2 linked regions of the Arabidopsis thaliana genome follow. The protein of the gene in region 1 purifies or fractionates together with the protein of each later gene. This does not show direct contact. Each region holds a gene or a part of one and is shown on either strand. Other genes may lie near its edges. The genes, in order: BOU and psbE.

Evidence for each region.
Region 2: the proteins of BOU (region 1) and psbE fractionate together in Arabidopsis thaliana (co-fractionation; one large-scale study listed by BioGRID). This does not show direct contact.

Annotation. Positions count from the first base shown.
Region 1 is NC_003076.8:18,987,761-18,992,642, forward strand, and holds BOU (Mitochondrial substrate carrier family protein), read right to left. Parts: upstream 3,108-4,882; 5' UTR 2,735-3,107; exon of another isoform or gene 2,511-2,734; intron 2,053-2,510; 5' UTR 2,051-2,052; coding exon 1,659-2,050; intron 1,530-1,658; coding exon 1,019-1,529; 3' UTR 828-1,018; downstream 1-827. Other genes in the region: MSP2 (microspore-specific promoter 2), read right to left, coding at 76-234, 331-408; AT5G46810 (carboxyl-terminal proteinase-like protein, putative (DUF239)), read left to right, coding at 3,404-3,415, 3,750-3,833, 3,943-4,149, 4,246-4,410, 4,586-4,639, 4,732-4,875. UniProt on the Arabidopsis thaliana protein: Involved in photorespiratory metabolism. Acts probably as a carrier for a glycine decarboxylase (GDC) cofactor or, alternatively, may act as a mitochondrial glycine shuttle. Involved in the transition from the embryonic stage to the juvenile autotrophic stage.
Region 2 is NC_000932.1:63,423-66,448, forward strand, and holds psbE (photosystem II protein V), read right to left. Parts: upstream 901-3,026; coding exon 649-900; downstream 1-648. Other genes in the region: psbJ (photosystem II protein J), read right to left, coding at 116-238; psbL (photosystem II protein L), read right to left, coding at 382-498; psbF (photosystem II protein VI), read right to left, coding at 520-639; petL (cytochrome b6/f complex subunit VI), read left to right, coding at 2,290-2,385; petG (cytochrome b6/f complex subunit V), read left to right, coding at 2,576-2,689. UniProt on the Arabidopsis thaliana protein: This b-type cytochrome is tightly associated with the reaction center of photosystem II (PSII).

The sequences.
Region 1 (4,882 bases):
CTTTAAAACCTTCCTATACAAAAAAACCCTTAAAACATTACACTTATTTTGAAAGAAAAACTGATCAAACCATACCTGAAAAAGTCTGGTCTCCAAAGCCGCGATTCGATCTAGTAACGATCCTTTGAAATACGCTTCTCTAATCGCCGTGCCTCTATCGATTAACCCACGCGTGGTAGGCGCGCTTTCGTCTTTCCATTTCGGAAGGTTTTGTTGTCTCTCTAGATTCTTTATCTACATAAAACAAAAACAAAAAACTCGAATAAATTCATAAAAGTACTAATGTATGTTTTCTTAACTTAGGAACCAAAGACAAAAAAAACAATTTACAACGAAATCCAAGTGTTCAAGCCTAGAGAGCATAGGCAAAGAAGAGAGTGAATGTTTTTGTTGCTCAATCGTCTCCATAAGACTTGTTATTTTTTTGGGATTTCTCTAACATGTGATATTATTTTTTTGGTTTATATAGTGGAAAAAGTTATATAGATAAGTAAAAAAATGTAAGACGATAAAGGAAAAAGCAGTTGAGTTCCCTCCTTTTTTTCCTGTTGACACTCTCTACTTGTACAGAGTCATACGCTAATCTGTTATTTAATTTAAATTAACAAAATAGTCTAAATATAAATATTAACTCCAATTTATAAACCAAAAATAGAAAAATTAAACCCCTATATTATAAACACCTAAAAGGCTAAAAACTTTAAATTCGTAACCCCACAATATAAACCTAATTTTTATAGATTAAACCCTTAAACAAACCCCTTAGCGAACTCTTAAATCACTAAGTTCGGTTTAGTTTGATTTAGTTACCATCCGATTCTGTTTTTGTTCGGTTCAATTCGGTTAAAATGTTAATGTCAACCACTAGTTCTTCTGTGTAAGAAATACTGAAATAAACTGTGTAAATGGTACATAAATTTTGCAGAAATTTTTTAAGAATCAAATCTAAAAACAGAGAGGTTAATCGCAATGGAACATTCAGAAATCGAACCAACAGTTAAACCCAAACCGAACCGGTTTATCCCAAGCTTGACCTTGTCATCTCATAAGCCAAGAAGCAAGCAGCATTAGCAGGAACACTCCTAGCCATAGCTGGACCAAATCCTTTATACAAACCTTTAACTCCTTCAGATTTCAGAATCTTCCGAAAAGCATCCATCGACCCCGTGTATCTCGGGTTTTTGTAATCGTCGACTTGAAGAACACTCTTCACAACATCTGTCGGATATACTATTCCCCAAAAAGAAGCACCAGCGACTCCACCCGCCATGATCAATGACCCTTGTCCTAAGCTTGAAGTGTCTGAACCACCGGCTAAAAACCGCTTGAAAGCTTCGTAGGCTGCAAACATTGTTGCATTTCCCGGGACTTCACGGGCGAATGTAGGGAATAAACCTTTGAATAGACCTCGTGCTCCTCCTTCTGATCGTAGGACATGACGGGCTACATCCATTGGTCCACCGTATTTCACGGCTGCAACCACTGAGCTTGTAGTAGAGGCACCAGCTAATGCACCTTGTGCTTGCAACCTGATGGAGAAACAAGATTAAACACACACACAAAGAGACATGTTTTAGTTCTGTTTCAGTCTAGAGCTTGAGTTAAAAGCACATGTATATATAGGCTCTGATTGGTAATACATGTAAAAAGAACCTAACCTGCACTTGATCAACTCGGTAGGACAAGCAAGGAACGAAACAGCGAAACCAGCGCCTGCACCGGCCACAAACTGTTGACTAATGGTCAAAGGAACTCCAGCTTCAGACCTAAGCAGCCCTTCCATTTGACCTCTCACAGTGAACAAAACCGCATTGAAGGCAGCAACGGTTGCAAGTGGAGCTCCCATACCTTTATACAAACCTTTGGTTCCTTCAGAAGCAACGGTCTGTTTAACCGCATCGATTGCACCGGTGTACCTTGGAAGTTGGCCTGGTGCTGGAGTCGGTTGGCTCTGAAGTTTGACCTTGATAGTGTCAAATGGATGACCAACAACTAGTTGAGCAGCTCCTCCAACAGTCCCTGAAGCTAAATCCTTCCACGCATCCGCCATTTCTAAGAAACAATAAATCAATCAAATTTCTCAGAATCAACCAAAAAAATCAAAAGTTTTTGTTAATTAAGAATAAGTTTTACACCACTTGAAACAATTTTCTCAGAACAAACCAAAATCAAAACCTTTGTTAATGAATACTTGTCATTTAACTTGTGACCTAAACCACTTTAACTAACCAAATGTTTCATAAACCAACCAAACTCACTACTTTTTGTTAATGAATAATCCTTCAAGAGTCAAGATTAACTTATAACCTAACCACTTAAACCAACTATATCATCATCCAAAATCAGTACTTTTGTCACTTGTGACCTGAACCACTTAGCCAATCAAAACGTATAAACAAACCAAGTTTGAATATAACAAAGACGTTTCAAAGAGTTTTTCTCATAAAAAGTGGATATTTTTATTTTGCTTCCAAGAAAGTAGGAATCTTATGATCATTTCCAATCATTACCAAATCAAAGGATTCAGAAGACAATGAGAGAAATCTTAACAAAACCTGAAAATGTAACCAAACTCAAACTCTAAAAACATGTCATTTTTCCTCAGTTGTCTCTGAGAAAGTTTGAATCTTTTAATCCCTAGAACTCAAATGGTGGATTCATAAGACAATGAGGTGAAATCAGATCAAAAACCCAGAAGGAAAATTCAATCAAAAGTGATTAAATATTAGCTTACCAACGATTGATTAGAGAGAATCCAATCGATATCAGATGGATCCGAGAAAGGTTAGCCGCTCGAATAAAAATGAAAAAAAAACAAATCCAGATGCGAATCCACGGGATAGAGATTCAGAGACACAAAACGAGTGATCAGATAAAATCCAAAAAGAAACAAAAAAGGATTCAAGTGGACATAAAAGTTTTTAACTTTTAACCACTCGAATGGCTATCTACGACACAACCACAAAGGATGGAGCTTTGCAGAGACTGAAGTTTTGTTTGTTTGTTTTGTCTCTTTAAATTTTCTTTAAGAGAAAACGTTTTTGTTTTAAGTGTGGTTGGTGAAAAATGAAGATCAGTTTGGCTGGTCAGACGTTCGATCAGCTTAATCGGTCGGTTAACGTATAACGTATGTGTGGTTCAGGATTCCAATTTGGTTTAAGGATTGAGCTGGTTTGGAGCTGATTGGGTTTCTATGTTTGAAGATGGGCCGTGGAGTTCTTGTTCAGCCCAAGCTCATCCGGAATTGTTGAAGCTGTTATAAGCCTAACAAAACAATATAAGGTATTTTAGGTATGAAAATAACTCAATTAACTTTATATTTTATGAATTAGTTTACTAATTAAAAATATTACTAATTTAATATATTGGGTCAATAAGTTCTTTTCTCAAAAGAATATTATGAATGGGGTCAAAGGTAGGAAATGATCATATGGCATCAACATGAAAATTTTTATACAAAAACATTTAAGAATTAATATTATTAAGTAAATTACCTTATAATTAAGAATTTTCAGATGACCACCTTCCCTATATATACATTGGCTCCGCCTCAACGGCTGAACATAGAAAATATGCAAACTAAGCAAATGGCTTCTCCTTGGTTGTTGATCATCATATTCTCTCTTTCATTACTTTGCTTCCATGGAAGGTCTCAAAATACTAAGGTCTGTCACCATTTTGTAAGCACTTTGATATAAACTTAAATATATAATACAAATAAAGTTAAAAAAAATTCTCATATCTTGTAGCCTCAAGAACCTGAATACGAATGCGTTGATATCTACAAACAACCTTCGCTACAACACCCTAAACTCCAAAATCACCGAATCCAAGTATATTTCTATATATTTACATTTGTTTGTCGATTTCCTGCACCTAATGTTTATCATGATCATATACTTATCCCTATTTGATTGATATATTTTTTGATGCATCACATAGATGAGACCGAGCGATGAAGCCTTAGCCATGCTCTCAGGAGATACATCATCAGAAAACTTATCAAACGATGAAATGGTTGCTGAGTTTGATATACCAGAAGAAGGATGTCCTCAAGGACAAGTACCAATCCATAAACCAAGAAATAATTTCAACCACACCGAGAAACATTTTCAGCCTATTAATGGATTTGGAACTGTTGGTCAACATGTGAAGTGACTAAAATTTTATACCTTTACTATATATGATCCAAACCATTTGATGTGTATTTTTTTTTTGAAAAAACTGATGTGTATATATATACAGGCTGCGGTAATGAAGAAAATCGATGCCACCCCGTGGCGTGGAGCATCAGCATGGATAAGTATTTACCAACCTAAATTGACAAATAAAGAGCAATTCAGCATGGCTTTCATTTGGCTCAATACTGAGTATGAAGGCGAACGCACCAGTGCCCACTTTGGTTGGGCTGTAAGAATTTAATTTTTTGTTTTGTTTTTTTAAATCGTGATATACTAGATCAAAATTAAACCCACTTAATGCAACCATCATTTAGCATATGTATAATTAGTTCATTTGAATAAATATCATGGTTAAAAGTTTTACTGATAACTTTTTTTTTTTACTACGTATGAAATATATTAAGGTGATTCCTGCACTATATGGCGATAGCCGTACACGACTTACTGCATACTGGAGTGTGAGTAACAATGTCACCAATTATCGTCTGTCCCTATCACAAGAAAGTAGATTTTTTTTTTCTCTTCTTTAACCCCAAATCGTTTTTTGCAGCAAGATACATTCGAAAGCGGATGTTACAATATAAAATGTAAGGGTTTCGTTCAAATTGATAGGAGACTCTTTCTTGGAGCCGGTTTTGCGAACACCTCTGTGGTGGGAGGCCAAAATTTTAAAGCTTTTTTTGCAATCAATCAGGTATATA
Region 2 (3,026 bases), on another chromosome or scaffold:
AATTGTTCTGATTATTAGCAGTTCAACGGGACCCCCTCGAATCAGACAAAGAAGGAAGAGTTGGGCCCCGTTGAGTTCTTATGTTTTCACGTCTATAACTCAGCTCATCCAATTTCTACAGGGATGAACCTAATCCTGAATATGAACCATAAAAGAAAATACCTATTAAACCGATCACAAGAATACCAGCTACAGTACCTATTACCCAAAGAGGAATCCTTCCAGTAGTATCAGCCATTTATCCCGCTTCCCTCCACATTTAATCGAGTGGTCATGCTAGAAACATAAACAGTCAGAGATAATTATTATATATAATCCATCCGAATGGGATAATAAAATTACTACTCTTTATTTTTTATTTTATTATTCTACGCTCTTTTCTTAATTGAAGAAATAATTCGAAAATAAAACAGCAAGTACAAAAATGAGTAATAACCCCCAATAGAGACTGGTACGATTTAATTCAACACTTTGTTCGTTCGGATTTGATTGTGTCATAGCTCTATAATTGAATTAGGTTTATCGTTGGATGAACTGCATTGCTGATATTGACCCCAAAAAAGAAACGGTAGGTACAGCTAGTCCATGAACAGCCAACCAGCGCACTGTAAAAATTGGATAGGTCCTATCTATAGTCATTGGGTCCTCCTAAAAAGATCTACTAAATTCATCGAGTTGTTCCAAAGGATCAAAACGGCCTGTTATTAATGGAATGCCTTGTCGGCTCTCTGTAAAATACTCGTTTGGACGAGGGCTCCCGAACACATCGTAAGCTAAACCGGTGCTGACGAATAACCAGCCCGCAATGAATAGGGAAGGTATAGTAATGCTATGAATGACCCAGTATCGAATACTGGTAATAATATCAGCAAAAGAACGTTCTCCTGTGCTTCCAGACATACTGAACTCCAGATATTCTCGTAGGGAATCGATTCTGTAAAAGATGAATAAGTAAATTAAAATTCACTGAGATTGCATCTTTGTGAGATCGTCAATAAAGTACCAAGGGTATTTTTAGAGTCTACCGAATCAGTATAGCTATCCTTCTTCTGACACAGCAACGCAATTTGAATTAGTATAGAAATGGGGTGTTACATAATTTCTTTTTTTCTTGCTTGTCGATGTATAACCGTGTCCCACTTTTTCAAATTACTGTAATCTATAGGGGCTTTGATCCTTTATTCGTTTTGGACTAGAAAATAAACTAAAGATTAGATAAAATGAAAATCCAAGAAGTTGGTTTCTAATTCTAATAATTCATGAAGCAAATTTTCATATGGTCCCAAGTTAATTGAATGAAAAATTTATAAATTTCATTTTCATTGCATATGCATAATTGTAGAATAGATTTTTTTATGATAATGTGATCCCCCCTTTTACTTTTTGTTTCATTTTAAGGAATTAATTTGCAGAAACAAGAAAAAGAACAATAGTTTTGGATTGGATTGGATCAATTAAAAAGAACAACAAATAAAAATAATAAAAAAAGACTAAATATTTGTAATGCGTGCATTGTTTTGTTGTATTCAATTCACAATTCAAAGGTTTTTTTCTTTCTTTAACTAACTACAAGGGTGATGGGTTTTTCACTCTATTTTCTATATAATCTCGAAAGAAAAAAACCTAAAACCTCGAAAGGAAACGATAATAGAAATTGCTAATTACAAGTTTTAAAAATCTAGTTATCGTTTAAAATCTAGTTAAAATAAATAAATCTTTTTTTTTACTAATCTCGTTCTCCGTGTAGGATACCTCTTTTCTTTTTAGTCTCATTCGATAGATTAAATGAAGAAAACTGCTCTACTATTTAATTTAATCTAATGAGTTTAAATTTTAGTAAATTCAATTTTAATAAAGTAGAAAGAGGCGTATTCTAGGTTCTAAGGTCAATAAAAAAAAAGAATCAAACAACTTATTTTCAAATTTTTACATATTCATTCAAAAAAAGTTATATGTTTTGACTGAAGTTAGATAATAGAGTTATTTTTTTTATGTATTATTTTTTTTTATGATTAATTTCTTAAAGAGTTTTTCAATTAATAAGTTACGTTAATTCTGACTCCTGAGATAGTGCAGATGCCAAAGACGATGAATTGAGTTCTTTTTATCTTTCTCTATTTTTTTTCATACCACCTATAATGATTGATAATTCACAAATTTTCAATTGAATTTTTTTAATTCTTGGAACTAGTTATCTTTCTCTATTTCTTAAAAAAAATTTCAATTGAAACTTAGGGAAGTACTTTAAGAAACATATGTATAAAAAAACATATTTTATTGAGTCCCTTCATGCCTACTATAACTAGTTATTTCGGTTTTCTACTAGCAGCTTTAACTATAACCTCAGTTCTGTTTATTGGTCTAAGCAAAATACGACTTATTTGAAATTAATTGAATGCAGATTTTTTTATAAAAAAGGATTTCGTTGGTATTTATTAATATGTTCGATAGTTCCTTACCGTGTTAATTACCAAATTTTGGTCATTGAGATTCATTGGCAATACAGATTAAGAGCTAGGAATAGATAGTACCTCTCTTTTCTCCCTTTCAAAAATGAAAACAAAAGAAAATTCAAATGATTGAAGTTTTTTTATTTGGAATCGTCTTAGGTCTAATTCCTATTACTTTGGCTGGATTATTCGTAACTGCTTATTTACAATACAGACGTGGTGATCAGTTGGACTTTTAATTAATTAACATCTCGTTTTTTTACTAACCTCCTTCTTGCTTTCCTATGCGGGAGGTCTAATTCAGACTGCTGCTCAGTAATTTGTGAACAGTGGAATTTTGATACAATCTATGAAATCACGCTCTGTAGGATTTGAACCTACGACATTGGGTTTTGGAGACCCACGTTCTACCGAACTGAACTAAGAGCGTTTTTCTTTTTTTTTTTTTCTAAAAAACGAAAAGGCTAGAAAGAGGGCATTCTTTAACCCGACTCGATTTTGTACGTATATACTATATCATACATAGTATATCATAAATTTCAGAATTAAATGTATGTCCGATAAAAAAAATTGATC